Alligator mississippiensis: one gene and its partners. The protein of the gene in region 1 purifies or fractionates together with the protein of each later gene. This does not show direct contact. Links are inferred from orthologs where the notes say so. Each region holds a gene or a part of one and is shown in the gene's direction. Other genes may lie near its edges.

Region 1 (7,991 bases):
TGTAAAGCATCTTTTGCTGCCGCTACTGGAAGTATTTACTACATGCAAATGTTGGGCCTAAGCCCACCAGGAAACTATAAGCAGTTAGAGGGGGACCTCTAACCCTGTACAAACTGAATAGTGGGGACAACAGATGAAAGAACAAGAACAGGAGTGCAAGTCAAAAGTTAATAATTAGGGTCCCAAAAGGGAGGGAAAGGGGGGACACTGAGCAGGCTAGTGCCTGCTGCCCCTCGAATGCATCTAAGCAGCCTCTAGACTCTGCTCAATGAAACTCTGCCAGGAGACATGCACAGATGAGAGAAAGGTAGACAGCCTCATAGTTACCCAGGTTCCCCATAGACAGCACCATATTGGAGGTAGAAAGCTGGGCTAGACAGACCATTGGTCTGACCCAGGACCGAACTTTTCACATTCTTACATTCCTCTGAATTTTTCAATACCAGAAAAAAAATATCAGCCACAAATTTCATGAGTGTGTACTTAGATCTTGCACCAAGGTCACTAACAAAAATGTTAAACAGAACAGGCCCCAGAACCGATGCCTGAAGAATGCCATTAGCAACCCCATTCCAGTCTGAAATCTCCATTTTTAACATAATCAACCACAGGCTATCTTTTAGCTACTCCTTTTCTACCTTGTGATTTTATGATTTTTCAGAGAGGCACAATACCAATTGCTTGCTTAAATCTAGATCAGGGGTGTTAAATATCCAGATTCTGGGCCAGAGTTGGCTCACAGAGCAAGCAGTTTCATCTAGCCTACAGGGCTGGGGAAGGAGACTAGAGAATGTTGTGGATCGTCTAGTCCCCATTAGGTGTCATGTCCTGGGGCAGAATTTGAGATCCCCAGTGGATATGTCCCTCTGGCTCCTTGGCCCATCAGAGAAATCATAGAAAATCAGGGTTGGAAAGGCCCTCAGGAGATCATCTAGGCCAACCCCCTGCTCAAAGGACCATCCCCAACTAGATCAATCCAGCCTTCTACATGGGTCTTAAAAACCTCCAAGGATAGAAAGTCCACAACCTCTCTGGGTAACCTGTCCCAGTGTTTTACTATTCTTCCAGTGAGATAATTTTTCCTATTATTTAACCTAAACTTCCCTTGCTACAACTTGAGACCACTGCTCCTTGTTCTGTCATCTGCTACCACTGAGAGCAGTCCAGCTCCATCCTCTTTTGAACCCCCCTCCAGGCATTTGAAGGCTGCTATCAAATCACCCGTCAGTCTTCTCTTCTGCAGACTAAGCAAGTCCAGTTTTTGCAGCCCCTGAACCATTTTTGTTGCCTTCTGCTAGACTCCCTCCAATTTGTCCACATCCTTTCTGTAGTGGGAGCCCAAAACTGAACAGAGTACTCCAGATGTGGCTTTACCAGTGCTGAACAATCACTTCCCTTGACTTGCTGGCAACACACCTACCAATGCAGCCCAGTATGCCATTAGCCTTCTTGGCAACAAGGGCACACTGCTGGCTCATATTCAGCTTATTGTCCACTGCAACTACCAGGTCCTTTTCTGCAGAGCTGCTGCCCAGCCAGTCAGCCCCCCAGCCTGTACTGGTGCATGGGATTGTTCCATCCTAAGTGCAGGACTTTGCACTTGTCCTTGTTGAACCTCATGAGATTTCTTTTGGCCCAATCCAATTTGTCTAGGTCACTCTGAATCCTAGCCCTACCTTCCAGCCTATCTACTACTCTGCTCAGCTTGGTGTCATCTGCAATCGCCACTGCCTTATTGCCTCTGCAGCCCTGTGCTGGATTCATCATCACTCTTTGCCCCATTCTGGATTCATTACTGCTGGCCCTAACACAGGCATCCAGGGCATTTATGAACATATTCCTGGCGTGTGGAAAGGGCACTTTAAATAGAGTGAGTCCAAAAGCTGCTCTAAATTAAAGCATTTGGAGCATCTCATGTATCAGCATCCCTGCACTTCAAAATGGCAGTGGGGTGCTTTAAGTAAAGCTCATCAAACACTGATACACGCGACACTGGAGGCTACTGGAGCATGGTAATTACCACACTCCAGCAGACTCAATCAAGTCTGCTCCAATACACTGTAATTTCAGTGAGTCAGAGCAGACTCATTGCATGCATATAGGTGCCCAGTGTGCCTTGAGCTAGATCTAGCCTACAAGGAGCCCTGTAGTCCAGGGCACAAGGTGAGCTTCAGACCCCTGATTTAGGTAAATTAGGTCCACTGTATTACCCTTCTCTAAGTTATTGTTCTGACATGAACTCCTTTGGACATGGGCAGATCTAGGATTTTGAAAATCCTAGCGCTGCAGATGGTATGTTACATCATCACATACAATACAACCTATTTTTCTCCAGTTAGAGAGAAACTAGAAGCTTTACTAAGATATTGTGTCGTTAGTCCTGTAGTCATTATAGTTAAATGTGCATATTTTATTAAAATTCACAAAACAAAATCTAGTCTTCCTGAGCATCTTGACAGTGCCTCCTATACTTCACTGTTAGTCATTTCTACACCCGAGTTAATATTACCACACCAGATTTAACCTGAGTGTTTAACTAGCGGTACAAGCAATCTGCAGGGCTGTGAAAAATATGAGGCATACTCAGGAATGGCTAATAGACAGCAAAATTGCAGAAGAAAGGATAGGTTGAATAGAGGAACATCAAGTCCATTACAAAGGATAGCGGGTCCTTAACACTTGCAGAGTGGACAAATATCAGCAGGAATCAGAGGACTTAGGAGTCATGAAGTCAATTGACTCTCTCAGCACTCCCTTAATAGAAATGCCGCTGCCCTTGCCAAGCAATTGGTTTTCAAGTATGGGTGAGTCAAGAATTAAAAGGAGATGACTGCACTATTGCACACTCCTGGATCCACCTCTGCTTTTGGATAAAATTATATCGCATCTTGTCTTATTTTCTTTTACCTCCATATCTCTATTTTTTCCTTCAATCTGTTCTAAAATCATGCATAATACTAAAGTCATACTAATGGGCCTGTAATTACCTGGGACCATTTTTTTCACCTTTCTTGAATAAAGTCACTATCGTTGCTATTCTCCAGTAACAGGGTACTACACCTGAACTGACAGATCAGTGCCACAGAAATTGCTTTTTCACGTGCCATTCTTTCAGCATGCTGGGGTGGAGAATATTTGGTTGTACCATATTTCCTCACAAGAAGCAAGCTAAGTCTTGCATTCATATCACGTGTGGTAGTTTTAATTACCAATTCCTCATCCCCATCTTGTACTTTACCACTATCTTCACTTGCTTCCTCATCCATATTGAAGACCGAGTGTTCATTCAGTCCTCAGGACATATCTAGATTGTCCTTTATCTCTATCCTATTGTCAGGGTATAAAAGGTTTCCTTCCTAGTTCTTTTTCATTTATATGACTGACAGACCTTTTGCTATTTTTTGATTTTCTTTGCAAGTTTGAACTCATGTAGGCCTTTGGGCATTATCACTTCCTTTCTGCACTTTCTGACCTGGGAAAGACCTCTCTCCTTACTGATCAATCTTGTTTATCCATTCCTTGTATATCTTAATGCCTGGATAATGTGCTAGTTTGTCCAGTTTGGCCTGTAACATTTTCCTATCCACATTTTCCAGATAGTACTTGTGGTTTTGATTCGCATGGCTCATCTGCATTTAAATCCCCTGAACTCTGAATCCAACTGGTCCCTTGAACTCATTTCCTTGGTTGCTCAAAGTTTGCTCTTCTGAAATCCAAACCCCAGTTGCAGACCTATTTTGGTTATCTTGCAGTTTACACAGAACAGCTCATAATTACTGGAAAATCATCTTGAATCAAGAAGTGACCCTCTGTAAGGTGGTTATTATTTAATAAAAATCAACTCTAAAATAGTATTGACTCTTGTTCGTTGCATGACCATTCAACAAGAAAAGTATTGGCCGTCTTACCCCAAATACCGTGCCCGACCACTACCAGTAACATTTGTTATCCTGTCTATATCAGCCTAGTTCCAGTGTCCCCGAATTACCCAGTATTACTAACTACTCCCGCAAGGTCAGAGACACCTCTCTCCATATTCCAGTCTGACCCAGGTAGTATAATAAAACTGAACACATTCCCTACGGTAACCTGGTTATTACTGTCTCTGTGTAAGCAAGTTGCATAGGGACTGGATATGGTCAATCCCTGGACGGAAAATAGGAGTGGGATGGGAAACAGGGCTGTGCAAAATTTTGCTGGCAGCTTCATTTCAACGCGGTTTTGACTCGTTTGGCACGGCCCTAATAGGAAACTAGGTTGAGAAACGAAAAGAGAGAAGAGAGAGCGATAACAGGCGGCTGGAAGGAGTTTGAACCCCCGCTCCTTCGCCGCCGTGTGCGGAGGATGGTGGCGCGCTCCCATCCGAGCCGCAGAAACGAGAGCCCGGGCGTGACGCGTGCTCTGCTCCCCTTTGGACCCCAGACCCGAGCACCAGGGCGGAGGCAGCAGGCTCGTCCTGCGAGCTCAGCCCCCCTCGACACAACCCGGACATCTCGACTGACTGAAGGCAGCGTGGCGATGCCCGAGCTGGGAAGTGAGCCCCGCCACGCGCCTCCTTTCTTTAAAGAAACCCCCTGCACCCGCGGCCCCAGCCAGCAACAAGAGCCTGGCCCCGCTCCCGGCCGGCGCCGCAGCCTGGCGCGGAGCAGGCCCCAGGCGCAGCCAGAGCTGGGGTGCGGGGACAAGCAGGGCTGAGCCGGGCCTAGGCCCTCGGGGCGAGTGAGGCGGCCTCAGGCCTACGCCGGGCTCCTGGGCCCGCTACTCGGAGCGGGGCGGGGCGGGGCGGCCCCCGCTGACATCCCCGCCGCAGCCTGCCCCGCGCGGCCAGGCCCCGCCCCTACCCCCGCTCGCGGCTCATAGGTTGCTCCGCTTGTCAGTCAGCCTCTCCCGGTCTCCCATTGGGCAGTGGCGGCGGGCACCGCCCCGGGCCCGCCCCGCCGGGGGCCTTGGCGACTGCTGATAGGCTGCGGCAGCAGCGCCCCCCCCCCACCCCACGCAGCGCTCGGCCCGCGTCGGTGCCTGGCAGCCGAGGAGCGGGGCCGCCGCCATCGCCATGGGCACCCGGGACGACGAGTACGACTACCTCTTCAAAGGTAGCGCGGCCCGGCCGGCGGGGCGGGGAGGAAGGGGCCTGGCAGCGAGCCCGCCCCACCGCCACCCCCGGGCCCCGCGCCGCCGCCGCCCTGACGTGGGCCGGGCCCTGCCCCGGGGGGCGGCACTGACCTTGTCCGCGGCGGCTCCGGCCTGGGCAGGGGCAGGGCTCGCGGGCCTGGCCGTGAGATGCGCGCGTCGCTGTCCGCGCTGCCCCCGACGTGCGGCCGGGAGCAGCGAGCGGGCAGCCCCCGGCGCAGCCCTGCTTCCCGCACCTGGGCCTGCCCGAGTGTCCCCAGCTCCCGCCTCCTCCTGCCTCCCCGGGGCTTTTTCCCAACAACTTCGGAGGAAAACCGCCTGCGAGTTGCTGCGGAAGAAGCTCCTCTCCGAGGGCTGGGAGGAGAGAGAAGAGGAGCGCGGCACTCGCTGCCAGGGTCGCCCTCGTCCCAGCAAAGGGACGCGGTTTTAAGGAAACAAATGCACGTTTCAGTAGTGAGTGAATTCAAAAGCCGCATTTCGGCACTTGTCCCGATGGTGCAGAAAGTGACCTTGGGCTAAGTGTGGGACTTTCTGCCAAAGTGGTTAAACCAAAGACAGTCGCTAAAAATGAGGTTTAGCATAGAAAAAAACCCTTGCCGACCTTACCTTGGGCTTCCAGGAGTTATTTCCGTGCCCCCGTCCACGTACACTTGCAGCGTTCCCACCGTCGGACAGTGATAAACTGGAATTGCCTTTTTAATGATAGATATTTTTAATGTGGAGTTAATTTATTTTCTGATGCCTGTAGTCATTTATAGTGTTGGCTTTATTCTTTTTTAGAGACTGACGGTCATCCTGTCTGAGGTCCAGAAAGCATTTGAGGTGGATGCTCTGAAGTTCTAAAGAATCTTTTTTTTTATCACGCTTTTTCCTTAAAATAACCCGCTTGGCAAACTCCCCAGCACTAGCTGTACAGTGGTAGGAGCCCTAGTCTTTGGCTTTGCGCGCTCCATGTTGTTTAGCACGGCGAACAGGAGCTTCCTGTGAGACGGAAATGCTGATGGTCAGCAGTGCCGTGTCCTCAGTAGCATTCACTGTTCTAGCAAAATAAGGCGAGTGGTGACAGCATCTCCATGTGCCGTTCGCTGCAGTTACTCAAGAGAACGGCTGCGGTTAGGATTATGCGTGTGAATTTGGCTGTCGGTAATAGGAATGAGCAGTTGTTTTTCCAAAATGAATACTTCACTGTGTCTCCTACTTCGATATTCACTTCAGATATACTGTCCTGCATGGCCTACTCATTTTATAATGTATTTATTATTTAGGTTTGTTTTCTGCCCCACTTGGGTTCAGGACGGCCTACAATCAATGATAAACAACCCATGGGTGAGAAACAATAGATGTCCTAAAATTTGAAACCTCCACCCCTGCTGCTGCTGCTTTCATGTTTAGTATCCATGGACATTTTTACACATGCTGATTAAAGCAGCCCCATCTTCCCCCCCCATCCTAATTAGAAGTGCCCAAGCATCACACGTCAGCATCCTCCACGCTGAAAAATGGCGGCAGGGCACTTTGAGCTAAAAGCACTCCACCACCATTTTTCAGCATGGAGACACATGCACATGATGCTAGTCTGCTGAAGCGTGGTAATTTCTGCTCTCCAGCAGACTCGATTAATCCAGGATTTCCAGCACATCGGAGCCAGCTCCTTGCATACGTATAGGAGCCCAATGAGAGCAAACTCTCCAGTCCTAAGAGTAGCTGATTATTGAAAAAATGTTTTTTCTTCCCCACCTCCCTTAAATTACATGTAGCTGATTTCAGTGTGAAGCTGCCAGGTTGTGGTACTAAATCCTGTCTAGATCAACTATCCACTATTAACCTTCCGACTAATTTAGTGTCCTGAAACTTAAAAGTCTGATATTTTTTATAATGCTTTTCCTTTCAGGAATGATTAAACAAGTTACTTTTATATAAAAATTGCATGCATGCGTGCATGTGTGTATATGTATGTATGCACATACTAGCTCTTTCTAAAGAACCATGACACTATAAAATCTTATGGTAGTGTTAGTGATGTTATACCTGCGATCGTCCAGGAATTAAGCAAGAGGCAACTATACAGTTAGTCCAATAAAAGATATTACTTTAAGAAATCCTTGTCTCACTGTAAAAAGTAACGTTTTAAAATCTAAATTGAGATCTGATATTAAACTCCTTGGGCAGGGATCATTATTTCTTTATTTGTACTACTAAGTATTTGCCATAGTTGGCATAAATGAAAGGTGTGGGGGGAGAAACCTTGTCTTATCTAGATGAATTGGAGACTTAGAAGTGGGGGGCTGTCTCCCATATGCCAGGTTAGTGCTTAAATAATAACATGGGAAAGTTTGCTTTATATCTCCTCGTCGTGGAGTTAAAACTTTCTCCTTTCCAGCAGCAGGACTTTGGGGATCTCACGAATCATGTAGCTGGTTGTAATTATATGAGAACAACTGGGGATTCTGCATGGTCTGTTTCTGGCAGTAATATGGTGATGGACAAAACCATCTTCCTTCTTTTCTTCCTGCCAGCACTAAATAGCAAGGGGTGCACTGAAAAAATGGTCAAGTGATATTTTTTTTTGTTTGGCTTCTGACTCCTTTTGCAGCTTTATGAGTTCTCTATCTCTGTTCTAGCAGCTACATAGTCTAAAAAAGATGGCGTTGGGAGAGTAGCATGTCAAGAAGGGATTGTTTGCATGTTGCTACATGTAAAGTAGACTTTTTGTGTAGTGAGCGGTATCTGCTAAAGAAATATGTATACGAAGAATCAAATAGATGAGGAAGTTCTATGTGGTCTGTTGCTACACAGCAGTTTTTAGGTTCCTTACGTGGAAGACAAGACTCGAGTCAGTGGTCATCTTATATATATGGCAG
Region 2 (7,087 bases), on another chromosome or scaffold:
CCCGTGGAGCATCCAGGGCTAAGTCCCATGTTTTGTTCCCCAAAAGCAGAGTGACTTAACATAGGCAAGATAGATCATCAGTCCCACTTTAAAAATGGAAGAACGGGAAGCGAGAGGGGGACTGGTATGCAGAGCAGTGAGTCAGCAGAGACCAGACTCTGCTCCGAATGATTAGAAGCCTTGTCTCCACACTACGAAAGATAAATGTATTGGACCACAGGGAAACCAACAAGTGAGAGCCACCCAAGGTAAAAACACAGTGAAAACATATATTTTTTTTAAATAATTTTTTTGTGTTCTGGTCCAAATCAATTCCAAATCTGTGAGTCAGTCAAGTTTGCCCTACTGCTGGCAAACATCCTCCACCTCACCTAGGGCTTCAGATGTTTCTAAATCCTTTGGCAGGCATCCTAGGTGCAGGCCCAAGCTCGGAGACTTGGGGTTCAGATGCCCCCGTGTTTCGCTTGCCCTCAGCCATAAGGCCCCAGGGGTAAGCCTGGAAGGAGTCTCCCATTTCCATAAAGTGGGCACAAAGCCAAGATCTTCCCACTCCAGCAGCAAGTGGGAGCTTTACTATACATTACTTCCGTGGGTACTGTATGGTACCTACCCCATACTAGAAAAGCAGCCATCCTTGGGTGCGACTTAGTGGTCATGGTGAAAACATGGTGCTTAACAGATACTATGAGTTAAACCAGACAAGGTATAGCTGTGGGAGAAGAGTGCCGAGTGCACCGTAAAACTGAAGTGCCTTGCCGTCATGGTGAGTTCACCTTGCAGGGACTTATCATGCATTACCTTCTGTGCAGTGAAAATGCCTTTTTTAGCCGTGAAGACAAGGGATGAGGTCATTCTGAGGATAGAGGCCTGTGATGTCCTCCCTGCTTCTGCTGAGCCACATAAGTGCATTTCCAAGGTGTGCAGACAATGGTGTCTGATTGCAGTAGGTCAGTGCTATCTATGTAAGAAGCCCTCAAGCACGGCGCAGTGTATTACAGGTATTTGTGACAAGCTGTGAACAACGTACATGCACTTTATGAGCTGGGCCTGGCCCTCTACAGCAGTGGGGAGGGGGCATATTTTCAGTGCACAGGTGGCCGGAGAGTCTAAGCACCTGTCTGAGCCCAATCCAGGTGTGAGTTCCCCTACAGCAAAATCCATCTCACCTTGCTTTGGCACATTCACATCCTGGGTGTAGCTTCCCCTCTAAAGCTGGGCTCCTTAGCACAACTCTGACTGTGTGGGGCTTGAGGAAAGCTACATTCCAACTATATGGGGTACGAACCAGCTTTTCAAGGCTCAAACCATCACAGCGTTACAGGATTTCATCTCAGGCCCTTTCCAGTGCTTGGTCCGATCGGCAACTGGGACTTGCCACTTTTTGCTGAGACACGTCATCCATCCACTTAGAGGCACACACGGCCACGAGACTGTGGACTTCAAAGCTATGACAGGTTTCTGACTAAAACACCTGTCATGGGGCTAGGAGTGATTCTTCTCCACTGGGACTTTAGGCATGTATAATTATGGCGTCGAATCCTATGCTGGGGGAGAGAAGAAGGCAACCTTTCTCTCCCGGCTAATGAAACAGCAACAACAAAAAGATGTTGCTCACAGGATTGGAATGGTAGAATGAGGAGTTTAGTGAGGTGTTTAGGGCAGGTGAGGTGATCAAAGGTGTGCAGTGAACTAATTTGTCACATACCTCGGCTGTTTTTCACGTGGCCTGGCTTAGAGATTTCACTGCCACATACCTTGTGTGTGTGCACGCGAATGCGGATGCATACTGCCATTGCTCTGCCTTGCCTGTCCAGCAGATCTGCTCTAAACAGTGAGAGCCTAGTGATGTCCAATGTTACTAAGCTAGCAAAGTTTCCATTTAAACTCCTAAAACAGTCAGCATCTTTCATGCTCAGTCTCTGCTATAAAGGTGGAGCTAATCTCTTCCCATGCTGGATTTATGAATGCAGTTCAGCACTGTCTGTATGTCAGGGGTCAAAAGGAAAGCTCAGACACTTGACTCATGGGTCTTGGGTCTACCGGATTTTGAATTGGCTTCTAGCATCCTCCTTTAACTGGCCATAGATCCTCAGGGGAAAAAAAGGCCTGGTGACTTGGATAGCAAGGTACATACAGACATTAAGGGATTGGAGTTCTAGGATTAGGAAAGGTTGACTCGCCCGGGAGCTGTAACATGAATCATTAAAACCAACATGCTGAAGAAAACAATTTGGAGGTGTCTGGTGCATTAGTGTGGGTGTATGCATGAGATATGCAGAGAAGCTCTGTAATTTCTTTTTCCATCAGACAGCTGTTTTATGAACAGACATTCAGGCCTCTGTCTTACTAGGCCTCCAACGTAAAATGCAGCCCCGTGACATAGTGACATCATATGATCAAAAGAGCAAAAACTGAAAAGATATCACATTTACCCAAATAACTTTGTTTGCCTATGCCTTTAGACCAACACGGCTACAACCAATACACCTAAAACTAAACAGTGAAAGCCTCTTTGACACCAGAGAATTTTCTGAGCCTTTGCTAATGTTCATGTGAAGAGCTTTTGCAGGTGATTTCTTTTATTATCTAGCACTTGGCTCCCAGTCAGTTGAAACCAGGGGCACAGAGAGTCTGAGGGGAGGGACAGGCCTTTTTTTTTAGCATTGTGTTAGTTACCCCAAGTGAGGACACATCTAAGTGCTGGAGCGCAATGTGTCTTGCGAGCACGCGCAGATCATGCATGGGGACCTTAGTTGGTAGCTGATATAAGGAAGGGCAATAGGTGAGATCATTGTTTACTAACTCATGTGTAAATGAGTGACTCCTCTGTTCCTCAAATAAAGCAGAACCCCACCCTCCAAGCATTACATTGGCATGTCACACCGAAACTCCCAGACAGCAAAACTGCATTCTCCACCTTCCGGTCCGTCTGCTGTCTGCTGGCAACAAGCTTTCTTCGGATCTGACTGAGAAGCAGAGGGGCCAGGGAGGGAAGTGCAGATGGAGGGGAAAAAGCTCAAAGCCACGGGTCCTACACACCCACGTAGAGTCACAGAAAATGAGGGTGGAAGGGACTTTAGGAGGTCACATCTAGTCCAACCTCCTGCTCAAAGCAGGACCAGCCCCAACTAGATCATCCCAGTCAGGGCTTTGTCTAGCCGTGTCTTCAAAACCTCTAAGGACGGAGAGTCCACCACCTCTCTGGGTAACCTGTTCCAGTGCTTCATGAGAAAATTCTTCCTAACATCCAACCTTAAACTCCCTCGCTGCAACTTGAGACCCTTGCTCCTTGTTCTGCCAGCAGTCCAGCCCCATCCTCATCCACATCGGTGCTGCAGCTCTTTCCTAGGCGCAGTCGGTCAACGAGACCGGAGCCTCGAAAGCTGCGCGAGACCGATGCCGGCTGCAAAGCTCCCAGTTAAACAAACGTGCTTCATTTAGAAAAGCTGCTCCCCTGAGGAGCCTTGCACGGGCCTTGGCGCTCCTAGCCGGGGCACTGTCCCCGCAGGGATCGGGCTTGTGTCCAGTTCTGCGCGCTGGGCGCAAGAGCGCCCTGGTTCGTGCAGTCACCTGCCGCCTTCGGTGCTTCTGGAAGTGAACAGGCCTCTTTCTTACAAGCTTTATTCTGGACGGACAGAACCGGGACTGCCAAATACACGATCTACCAAGCACAACGACCCTGGCTGGGCGCGTCTACACGTTCATTAACGTGCCTGAGACACTGAGACACACTGAGTTTAAGACTTCCTTAATAAAGAGCTAAGGAAAGGTGGTGTGCCCAGAGTTGCCGCTGACTGCGCAGTTGGTGCGCTGCGACGCTTCTGGTGTAGACGCACCCGCCCTGTGGGACTCCTCGCCTGGGAGCCGAGGGAGGGGCACGGGCACGAAGCCTGCGGGAAAGAGGCACAACACACCCCCTTACTCCAGGGGCTTGGCCCCGCCCACCCTAGATAGACCCCGCCCACGCCCCGGCTTCCTACCGTGACCACGCCCACTCCCTGACCTTAGTGGCTCGGCCCCGCCCAGAATTCTTACCCCGCGGCTCGGCACCGCCCATTCTGACGTCACGGGCGGTCCCGCCTCTCGCGAGAGCGGCGCTAAGCAGCGGCTGCCGGGGTAGCAGGAGCGGCGGCGGCGGGGGCTCAGTGCCGCCATGTCGCTGCCGGGGCCGGGGTCCCCGCGCTGGGCGCCCACGCACGTGCAGGTGACGGTGCTGCAGGCGCAGGGGCTGCGGCCCAAGGCGAAGGGCGGCGGCGGCAGCGACGCGTACGCGCTGATGGCGCTGGGCAAGGACAAGTTCGCCACGTCGGTGGCCGAGCGCTGCCTGGGCCGGCCCGTGTGGCGCGAGGAGGCCACGTTCGAGCTGGCGGCGCGGCGCGGCGGCGGGGGCGCGCCCGGCCCGGTCCTGCAGCTCACCGTGCTGCACCGCGCCCTCGTCGGCCTCGACAAGTTCCTGGGCCGCGCCGACGTGCCCCTCGAGCCGCTGCTGCACGACGGCGGCCGCCGCCACACGCGGTCAGTGCGGGGCGTGGGGGGCCGGGGTGCGAGGGGTCCCCGCCCCGGTGACGCCTCCTCCCTTGTCTCTCTCTTCTCTCTGCCAGGCCGCAGCCCGCCGCTCTTTCGGGCTCTCTCCTTGCCGTGCCGATGGGTAACGAGCTGCTTCTGCTTCCCTGTCCTTCCTCCTCCTCCTCCTCCTCCTGGCTCTGTCTCTAGCCCCCCCGGAGGCCGCGAGGCCAGAGGTGCGTGGGGCGGCGGGTGCTGGGGCGCACGATGGAGGGGAGGCTGAGGGGACTGGGCTTGCTTGGTGTGGAGAGGGGCAGGGGGGTGGGCTAGTTGTGACCTCCTGAGGTCCCTTCCACCCTCGTTGCCTGTGACACTTCACTTCTTCTTGCTCGTGCTCCATGGCAGTGTGGGGTTCAGCCTTGCCGTGCAGCCCTTCACGTACCACAGACTGGAGGGCAGGGTAGGGAGGGCGCGGGGACGGCTTTATTGAGAGGGTCTGGAGGAGCACAGAGAAGGCCACTTGTCAGAGAAGTGCCCACGGCTGCGTGATGCTTGGCAGCGTACTACAACCTGTACCCCTGACGCTTGACAAAGTGTTTTACGGGTTGCTAATGTAATAACATTGCTTCTCTGCGTGTTGATTCATGATACAAGCTGCTTTGCCTAAAGTCTTTCAGCTCCACTGTCGACAGTGACTCTATTTAAGTGCGTAATTTGTGACTGAAGCAATGGAGGGGAAACAGCTCTCAAAGGACTTGGGCTAGAGGCCTTGAAATTGTCCCGAGTTAGTTTCAGGGCTGCTGTTCCTGGAGTACAGGTACCGACTGAGATGGGTTGGAGCTGGGCTGTTCTCGGTGGTGGCAGACGACAGAACAAGGAGCAACAGTCTCAAGTTGCAGCGAGGGAAGTTTAGGTTGGATGTTAGGAGGAATTTTCTCACCTGGAGGGTAGTAAAACACTGGAACAGGTTACCCAGAGAGGTTGTGAAGTTTCCATGCTTCGAGGTTTTTAAGACCTGGCTAGGCAAAGCCTTGACTGGGATGATGTAGATGGGGCTGGTCCTGCTTTGAGTAGGGGGTTGGACTAGGTCCCTTCCAGCCCTCCCAACCCTCATTTAAACTACAGACAGAATCACAGAGAATAAGCCCATAATGTTTCTTCTCCTTGCCACTTCACCCCTGGTCCTGAGGCTCTGCACTTTAGAGTACATTGTCTAGGATATCTCAGTGTGTAATATTCATGCTGCTGTTTTTTTATGTTAAGTGCCATCTCGTCTTCAGAAATGAAGTGAGCTGAATGAATAGGACCAGCTTTGCTATCTTAATCTACTGCACATTGGGTTTTGGGAAGACATTGCTGTGAGTTCATGTAGTTGATTAATGTTTCTGGTCTCTTCTTCTCAAAGACTAGAAATATTTAAATGAAAGCTTAGATTTGGAAGTAGAGTGGCTTGGAGCATTGGGGAGCTGGGAGAAAGTAAAGATAGGAGTGCTGAAGAAGAAAAATCCCAGAAAAATAGTTTCTGGGATCCCTCTGCTCAGCAGCCATTGGCTCTCATGAGACTTGCTCACTCTACAAATAGGAATTTATCTCCTAACTGTTGGTCCTGCCTGTCAAACTGGGTGTGTGAATATGTGGCCAGTAAAAAAAAGACTCTGCAGATTTGATTAAGCCAAGAGCTACCCCTAAATGTAAAATATAATCCCATGTGTTGGTATTCTTGCACAGCTGCTTTCCCTATAAGCTGACAGCATTACATGGCTGTTCTTTTGGGGCAGAGGCTCCATTTTCCGGATCCTCTTTGTTACATTGCACCACTTGAGAAAAATCCCTCCAGAAGGGGAAGTGAGGAAACTGCAGTCTGTAATTTACAAGAAGGGAGGATCAGCTAGCTTAATGATTGCAAAATGTTTTGAAGATGACAGCTGTATATTAAGCTACGCATGCGTATTCAAGTGTAATCATGGCCTGGAAGGTAGCAGTTCATCCTGATTTGAGTTTCCATGGATTAAATGGTCTAATTGGTAGTAAAACATGCAGGAATTTAGAGCAGGAGTGTGACAGGTGTGGAGTGGGCAAGCTGAAGCAAGAAGTTCTTTAAAAAAGAGTGTTTTTAATTGCAATAACTGTCCAGCTGTATTGAATACCCATATATCAGGTATGTCAAACTCACCTGATGCCCCAGGCTAGATCCTGACCATGGGACTGCTTGGAAGCTAGATCCACAGGCCATACGTTTGATACCCCTGCTGTTTAAATCTCTGTATAAATCTCGAAAAGTGGAACAGGTTGCACAGGGAACAGCAAAACCGAAGCCTGTCCCTGCTGTCATCAGAATGAGTTGCTATGGAGATAGATGGGCACAAAGAATTGATCTTATAGCCAGTGAACAGGTATAAGTGAAATATTAATAAGGTCTCGTATTGAAGTACTCTGAGAAGTAGTCTTAAAATGGAAGAGAAATACAGAAAATTACACGGCAGAGTTCTTTCTAAGTAGAAAGCCCTGGAATGTGCTTGAAGGGGTCTTATGAACATGAGAGCTTGTTCATAACTTGTGAATTGATGCCTGATTGTATAAAGTC
Region 3 (7,974 bases), on another chromosome or scaffold:
CAGCAGCTTTTTCCCACCCCACAGGTCTCTGAGTAAGTGTCTCCTGCTCCAGTGCCTGTGGACCCCTGCCCTGTTATAGTGAGCAGAGAGGGAGGGCCCCCTTATAGTGAGCAGAGAAGGAGGGGAGGCCTCCCTGCATCACGTGGGTCCTTTGCACTGCGTGTGCAGGGTCCAGGAGGCTTTGCCAGCAGCTGCGGGAAGTCTGCCAATGGCACCAGCCAAATTCCACTCCTGTTTACACAGGTGTAAATCTGGAGTGACTTTCAATGGAGCTGACCTGGACAGATGCCAGCATGAATGAGATCCAGCTTGTGGCCGCCTCCGAGCACACAGGGAGCTCAGGCACAGCTGGGGAGAGAGGGAGAGAGAGGGGGGATGTGGGCTTGCAAATGGATAAAAGAGCTTGAGGGAGCTGTAAGTAAAAACAGAATCTACTGCCTCAGTTTCTCTTCCTGTACTGTGTTCAGTCAGACTGGGAGCTCTTGGGGCAGGTGGTAGCTCCTTCAGGGTCTGGGCAGCTCTTGGCACCATGGGGCTTTGATCTCAGCTGGGGAAGGGAAGGATCTCTCACCCTGGCTCTGTACAGCACCTGGTGCCATGGGGCTCAGCTGCATCCTCTGGGTGTTAACCATGGGCCAGGAATGAAATGACTAGAACTCATTTGCCACCTCTGCTTGCAAGGCCTTGACATCAGGAGGGGAGTGGGTGAAGAGGAGAAAGCCCTCTGCTTTGGGAAGGTGTTTGCTAGCAGAGCCAGGGCAGCCTCTTCTGCCCTGCACCCCAACCTGCCACTGTGGAGCCTGAGCTGTCATGGGAATCACGGGGCTTTCCCAGTGACTCATGGCATCCTGGCAGACTCTGGGGTACCCCTGCCTCTGGCTCCCAGCACATGACTGGGCGGGACGGGTCCCTAGCACTGCCTGCCTGAGCCCTTTTAAAGCTCATTTGTGGCTGCTCAGGTTTCTGAGTGGAAAGATGGGTATGTGGCTGAGAGAGCAGCCACATGGATTCTTCTCTCAGCTCCAGGAACAGGCTGGTGTTCATCAGCTACAGCAAGGGAGCCTGGGGACACCTGGATTCCTTTGCTAGTCCCAAGGGGGAAGTAGATCTAGGAGTTAGAGCAAGGACCTGGGAGCCAGGACTCCTGGGTTCTGGGCCTAGATCTGGGGAAAGGATGGGCTGTAGTGGTTACAGCCATGGGGGTGAGGAGTCAGGATTCCTGGGTTCTCATCCTAGTCCTGAGGAGGAATTAGGGCCCATTGGGTAGAGTGGAGACCTGGGATTCAGGCCTCATCGGCTGCAGCCTGACACTGTGACAAGCAGCCTGGAATCTGAACCCAAGCCGATCCTGAACTCCTACAACTGCAACCTCTGCTGCCATTCATGAATGCCAGCACATAGCAGCAGTGCCAGGTGCTCATGGAGGGAAGTCCAGGGCAGCTGCCCTGTCATGCCACTGGGTGGGGTGGGGGGCCTTGCTGCTGACTCAAGCAGTGTGACTATTACTGGAAAACCTTGTGCCAGCTGACAGCTGCCCTGCCCGTCCACATGCATGTGTGATATCCCAGGGCCGTGCTCAGGACATGCAGCCAGCCCCACAAAGTTGCTTCTCCTGCCCTGGAAGCCAGAAATATCCTCTCTGATTTTAACCATCCCCCCCGACACACGCACACAAAGCAGGGGTATCTGCATTCTGGCACCAGGGAGCTGCCGCTTTGTATTTTCCACTTGCTGAAGTTTAGAGGCCTGGTTTTCTGGGCTCATCTCTGCTGTCCAGATGTCATTTCTGTCCCAGAGCTCAGCACCACCCCAGGCACGTGTTCCAGGTTTCCCAGGCTCCAGTGTAGCACAGGGGCGTAGGTGTTGCAATGCACTCAGCTGGTTGTGAAAGAACATCCTCCCACCTCAGGTACATCTCACCTGCCCGTCAGCTGAACTCCTTGCTGCAGATATGTCATCCTCACAGCTTGGGGCAGGGAGGAAGTTGCAGGCTCATCTTCCAGCTATGTATGGTGCTGGTGACTGTAAGCTCCTTGGAGCAAAGACTGTCTAGTCATAGAACCCCAGCCCCAACCTTGTTGGTTTTTACTCACTCCTGCTATGTACTTATTAAATAAATATGTCATGGGGGAGATGAAGTGTGGCTGGATGAGTTGGTTTAACCGCCAGCCTTTTCTTCAAAGAGCTGAAAAGAAAGAATTTACTTCCTCAATGAAACAACAGTGGTCTCCAAGCCAAACACTGGCAACTGGCAGTAGCCAAGCAAAGGCAGGACGGTGCCCAGAAACCTCATGGGCTAGGCTGGGTGCTGGTTATGTGAGAGAAGCAGGAAAAAAGTCCAGGGAAGGAGTGGAAAGCTGGACACGGCCTGGGGCTGCAGGGACCTGGGGAGAAGCTAAGAGGGATCCGACCTGTTTGCTAAGCAGAGATTCGAACAGGGGGCAAACCCCCACCTGCTGCTGTTTGATTCCTCCAGGACTTAGCATCATGAATTAACAGCAAATGAGCTAGCAAGGTTGAAGACTTCTGCCTGCATCAATGCTTTCTCCATCTAAAAGGCCTGTGCGCAGCTGTATTTTGCCAACTGCATGGCTCACAAGGGGTCACAGATGTATCCTGATCCTTGCCCATCCTTGATTCACTTTGCAAAACCCTGCAAAGCAAGAGATTTCCACCTACCTGCAGGGGACCCCAGCTCCCAGGGCTGTGGGATGGGAGAGTGGGGCACTGGGGAGCCAGCTTCATGCAATCGCTTCTAAGAGTTCCCTGCTCCAGCCAAGAGATGAACAGAGACTTGACAAATACCGGACAGACAAAGCGCAGCAAGTGCATCATGTAACACGACCGCCCTGTCTGCTCACTACAAAGGCTCCCTGTGCCATCAGCTTTGATGCTGTTAATACATGTGCTAGATTGGGGGTGTCAATGGCGCAGCCCACAGAGCCCCATTATCCAGCCCGTGTTGTTCCCAGGTCTGGAGTTGGCCCACACACCATATGTGATGTGTACCAGACATGCCCCATGTGTGGGGTCCAGGACATGCCACACGCAGCGCCCCCCACTTGAGCTGCTCTGGGGTGGGTGCTGTGTGCAGCTGGTTGGAGTGCACTAGATCTGGCATGGGGCTGGGGGTACAGCTCTGAAGTTGCAGCAAAGTAAGTTTAAATTGGAGATCAGGAAAAACCTTGCTGTTAGAGCAGGGAGCTCATGGCATAGATGAAAGGGAAGAGGTGGACGCTCCATCACTGGAGGTGTTCAAGAGGAGGCTGCACAGCCACTAGTCGGAGATGACCTAGCAATTGATGCCTGTGCTCTGCTGTGGGGATTTCTCAGTCCCCCAGGCTTTGTTGGTTTCCCCAACTTCTTTCTGCTCCATGTATCAGGGAGGGTTTAAGCCTCCCTCAAAGGCACTGGGTGTTGGCTGCAACCCAGGCTGGGACTGGGGACTGGCCTGTGCCAGTGCTCCTGCTGGCACCAAAGCTGGAGGGTCCTGGCTAGAGCAGCATTTCTCAACCTCTGGGTTGTGACCAAACTTCTAAAATGGATTCTCCTTTAAAGAAAAAGGTGGGAAACCGTGGCTTTTCCTTTGCAGGCTGGCAGAGCTCCAGTCTGCAGGGGGCTGCTTAGGGCCCTGTGTCCCACACACCCACCCCCTGCCCCACACACTGGGGGCTGAGGCCAGGGAGCACCAGATCAGGAGTGAGGGGCACTAGGTCAGGATATCTCCAAATGGGTCCTGGTCCAAAAAAGGTTGAGAACCACTGGGCTAGAGGGTCTTGCCCCTTTGCTCAGGGTCAGACCCAGGGCTGGATTAATGTATAGGCAAACTAGGCACATACTTGGGGCCCTACGTGAAGCAGGGGACCCAGTGGTGCTTATTTTACATAATTATTGAGTGAAAAAAGTTATATAAATGGCTCACTAAATTGTTAACCTAGCCCTGGTCAGACCAACTTCATATTTGGGGTCAGGAAGGGATTTTCCCCCCGGTCAGACTGGTCCGGACTGGTGGGTTTTGCCTTCCTCTGTACAAGGGCATGCACGGCCTCAGCCTGGGAGCTCTTTAGTGTCTATTAACAATGTTTTTACAGCAGCAGGACGCTGCTGCCGCAGTCCCCTGGCTTTCCCTGGGGCAGGGTTCTGTTGTGTCAGGGTTGATGGTCGAAGAGTTCGGATGATGGATGGTTTGGACAGGGCTGATCCCGCCTCGGCTGGGGGGTTGCACTAGATGTGACCTCGGGAGCTCCCTTCCAGCCCCGCGGCTCTAGGATTTCGATGGCCTGGTCGGCAGGGCTGGCCCCTGGACGGCTCGTGCTGCCCGCAGGCCCAGGCGGGGTTCACACTCAATAAGCAACGCGGAGCCAGGGCAGTGATGGCTGCGATGCCGCGGGGTGACGCTCCGATACGGCTCTCGAATGTGCACTGGCAGAACCTGGCACCACGAGCTGGCCACGGGCATCGCAGGGCTGGCCCGTGACTGCGCGAGGGGCTGAGGCGGCACCGCGGGCACCCCCAGTCCTGCCGGCGGGGTGGGCAGCCAGACGCATCCCCAGTTCCCTTGGGTGCCCAGCAGAAGGGGCAGGCGGGTACCTCCAAGGGCTTCTGGAAGCAGCCCTAGCCCACGCACAGGGATTCCTGGCCCCTGGAATGCCCTTGGGGCCACCGTGCCTCAGTCTTCCCTTCTGTGAAATGGGTGCAACGCAAACGGCCCCCGGCGCCTTGCCAGCTACAGACAGCAACATGCTCCCCACCCCGCCTTCCCCGTGACGTGCGGTTTATTTCCCTTTGCAACGCCGCTGCACTGCAACCTGACTAGGCCCTTCCTGATCAGGCAGCGCGATAGCCACCCTCCCAGGCCCACCGGCGTCTATGGGTGCACGGGTCCTTCGCCCCCCCCCAGTACCCTCCCCCGTCCTCCCGGGTGAAAGGGGCGGGCGCTCGGGGCGGGCGCATGCGCATAGGCGGCTCCGGACTCCGAGGCGGTGGGGGAAGCCTCGCCCCCGCCCCCGCGCGCTCGAAGGACCCTCAGGCGGCGCGCGGCCACCCCGGGCCTGCGGGACCCAGCGCGGCGGCGGGGCGTGCAGGTGTGCGTGCGCGTGCGGTGGGGGTGCGTGCGTGTGTGGTGGGGTGCAAGGGTGCGTGTGTGATTTGTGTGTGGGGTGTGTCAGGGTGCGGTGTGCGCTGTGCGTGTGTTGGGGGGCACGGGCGTGTGTGAGCTTGTGGCGTTAGGCAAAGTGCGTGTGCGCCAGTGGACGCGGGGGGAGGTGCGCACATAGGTGTGCGGGGGGGCCATGTACGTGAGTGTGAGGGGATGTAAGAGATGTGTGTGCCCACGTGGGTGTTGTGGGTGTGAGGGGAGGTGCATTTGTGTTTTGTGGGGGAGCGTGTGTGCGTGCACCTGTGGGGGATGGGGTTGTAAGGGTGTGTGCACACCTGTGGGTGTTGGGGGGGGGGGTGTGTGGTGTATGTGGGGGGATGCATGCAGGCGCATGTGTGCAAGTGTGGGAACCTGCCTGTTGCGATGAGAGAGTAGGGTGTGTGTGTGTGTGTGTGTACGGGGTTCTGGGGGGTGTGCGCATGTGGGGGGAGCGCGTCCACCAGGCGGGCTGGGGGGTCTCTTGGTGCCAGCGGACCCTCATGGCCCTTCGCTGCCTTCTCTCCGCTAGCCTGTGGGGACCGTCTCTGACGCGGTGCGAAGATGAGCGGCTCGTCCGGCCTCGCGGGGCAGCACACGTGGAGGCAGCAGCGGCCCTGTCGGGGGAGAGCGCCTCAGGTAATGCCCCAGCGCACAGCCCTGTCCTGTCCGTGCCTCCAGCTTTGTCCAAGCAGCTTTGGGGTGGGTTTGGACCACGCTATAAGGAGCTGCGGGAGGTCCATAGGTGGGGCCGGGATCTGGAGCCATCCTGGCCCAGGACCCCTCTCGCTGTGTAGTCAGTGGTGTATCTGCTGCAGGTCGCTGGGTGCGGGGGGCTCTGGTGCAGAGCAGCTTCTTGGGAACAGGATGCAGCCCCCCATCATCTTCTTTCTATTGCACTTGGCTAGGGCTCAAGGCAAACTAGGGGCCCACCCCAACACCCTCCCCTGGGCCGGCTTGTCCCTCCTGCATTTTGCTGTTACCTGAAAGAGACGCCCAAGGATTTAAGAGCAATGCTGCGCTTGATGTGTGAGGCCAGCGGTCAGTGCTGCACAGAGTTGCCTGGGGGACAGTAAGTGCTCAGCAGAGTTGGGGTTCAAGTCTGCACCCTCCTCTGGGTGGTGGTAGCTGCAGCAGTCTGAACGGCACCCCTTGTGTCCCAGCTGAGTTTGGATCTCTGTGTAGCCGAGGGTCAGCTGCACCTGACCTCTTGGTTTAGATGCTTCTACCAGCCAGAGGCACAGTCTGATCTCAAAATGCCAGTGTTGGACTGATGTAGCTGTGATGATCCAGGAAATGTATGAGGGGCAGGGGTTTTTGTGGGTGCTGTCTTTTACTGCACCGGCTGCATGGTAGGGGTGGACTTAGACAAGCTTTGAAATGCAGTTTTGGTATTAAATTGTGTATTTAGAAATGTGAGCTTCCGGGGACCTTGGGTAAAAAAGTATCTTCTGACTTGTGGAAGCCAAGAAACTCCCTGGGGACCAGCTGTCCCCTGTCTGCTCACTTCAAGGTCTCATCTTGCGAAGCATTTGGACCTAATGATTGGGGTTACTGGATTAGAGCGTGCAAAACCGGATTATGCCGTTCACCTGTTTGTCGTGGGACCTTCCTTTATCCCTAATAAAGGAGGCTAGTAATGACTTGGTTAGAAAGGGCTTGGAGATGAGAGGTGTGGAGAAGGGCCGGTTGTTCTGAAGCATTGCTGCCAGTACCAGGTTGCCCGAGTTGCTGCTGCAGTCGAGCTGAAGAAGCGTGTGCTGTGTCTTCTGAGACTGCCTCCAGACTTGGTCTGACTTGTTTCCAAATGCTGCGTAGTCTGGACTGTGAAGGCCTCCTTCCTGAATGCCTCAAGCTCCTGTTGGTCAGTGAGAGCTGGGACAGCTTTGTGCTTCCAGAGACTGGGCCTCAAGCCTTTTAGTGCTGGAAAAGTAAATCAGCAGCTTGTTTTGAAAAACACATGATTTTTTTTTTTTTCCAGTCCTGTCTTACGCTTTTTGGAGAGGGGAAGAGTGGGGACAGTGAGGCAGCTAGGGGTTCCTGCTGCTGTTTGTGTGATCTGGCCAGTTGTGCTCTGCGCCTCAGTTTCCTCTTCATTGTGCGACTGGAAGGCTAAATGCCTTGGTCTCTGGAAGGTGCAAAGTATTAATGCAGAGACTGAATGCAGAGTCCTTTGCGTGAGAACCTTGCTGCTCCTCTCCTCTGTGCCCTATCGCGCTTACAGAGCGAGGTTGTTGAAATCAGTTTTATAATGGCTGGCTTCTGGCTTCTCCTGCCTTGTTGTTTGTGCCTTCTTCCCAATCTAGGGCTGCCCCCTTGTCCTGATGGCACAAAGGTCTGACTTGTTACTAGTTAAATAGCAGAGAGAGAGCTAAATTGACCCCCATCTGAAATGGAGCCTTGAGAAACCATGAAGGGATGTCAAATGTTTGGCATTCATACGTTTTTCTGAGGCCGAATGGTAGCAGGAACTTCAGCCCGTGTGCCCAGATATTTGAAGTCCAGGCCTGCCCTGGAAGCTGCATGTTGCGTTATAACCACACTGCTCATGTGGCCGGGCACTGGGCTGGGGCTGAAAGGGATTGTGTAAGCTTGGGGCCAAGTCTGAGTGAGATGGAGCCACCTGTACCCGGTTCCTCTAGCTGCTGCTCTGACTCTCACGCAAGAGCATCATGTGAAATCCCTGTGTGCCTGCTGCCTCGGGAATGCTGTGCCTGGCCCAGCATGGCCAAGGCTAAGCATACGGATTTAGAGGTGGTGAAGATCTGGATTAGTGTTACGGGGGGAGGGAGCATCTGTACATCGGTTGGCCCAAACGCTGCTAGCGACCTTGACGTGTC

Evidence for each region. Proteins that work in one complex are often made in the same cells at the same time.
Region 2: the proteins of RAB11B (region 1) and RAB11FIP1 purify together in Homo sapiens (affinity purification with mass spectrometry; 3 studies listed by BioGRID and IntAct, counting the BioPlex papers as one, with this or other methods). This does not show direct contact. The link is inferred for Alligator mississippiensis from reciprocal best matches to the Homo sapiens genes RAB11B and RAB11FIP1.
Region 3: the proteins of RAB11B (region 1) and PI4KB purify together in Homo sapiens (co-immunoprecipitation; 3 studies listed by BioGRID and IntAct, with this or other methods). This does not show direct contact. The link is inferred for Alligator mississippiensis from reciprocal best matches to the Homo sapiens genes RAB11B and PI4KB.

Annotation. Positions count from the first base shown.
Region 1 is NC_081839.1:10,095,763-10,103,753, forward strand, and holds the start of RAB11B (ras-related protein Rab-11B), read left to right. Parts: upstream 1-4,983; 5' UTR 4,984-5,053; coding exon 5,054-5,093; intron 5,094-7,991. UniProt on the Homo sapiens protein: The small GTPases Rab are key regulators of intracellular membrane trafficking, from the formation of transport vesicles to their fusion with membranes.
Region 2 is NC_081830.1:18,618,529-18,625,615, forward strand, and holds the start of RAB11FIP1 (rab11 family-interacting protein 1), read left to right. Parts: upstream 1-4,082; 5' UTR 4,083-4,153; coding exon 4,154-4,515; intron 4,516-4,537; exon of another isoform or gene 4,538-4,739; intron 4,740-7,087. UniProt on the Homo sapiens protein: A Rab11 effector protein involved in the endosomal recycling process. Also involved in controlling membrane trafficking along the phagocytic pathway and in phagocytosis. Interaction with RAB14 may function in the process of neurite formation.
Region 3 is NC_081838.1:19,916,361-19,924,334, forward strand, and holds the start of PI4KB (phosphatidylinositol 4-kinase beta), read left to right. Parts: upstream 1-4,969; 5' UTR 4,970-5,084; intron 5,085-5,666; 5' UTR 5,667-5,773; intron 5,774-7,974. UniProt on the Homo sapiens protein: Phosphorylates phosphatidylinositol (PI) in the first committed step in the production of the second messenger inositol-1,4,5,-trisphosphate (PIP). May regulate Golgi disintegration/reorganization during mitosis, possibly via its phosphorylation.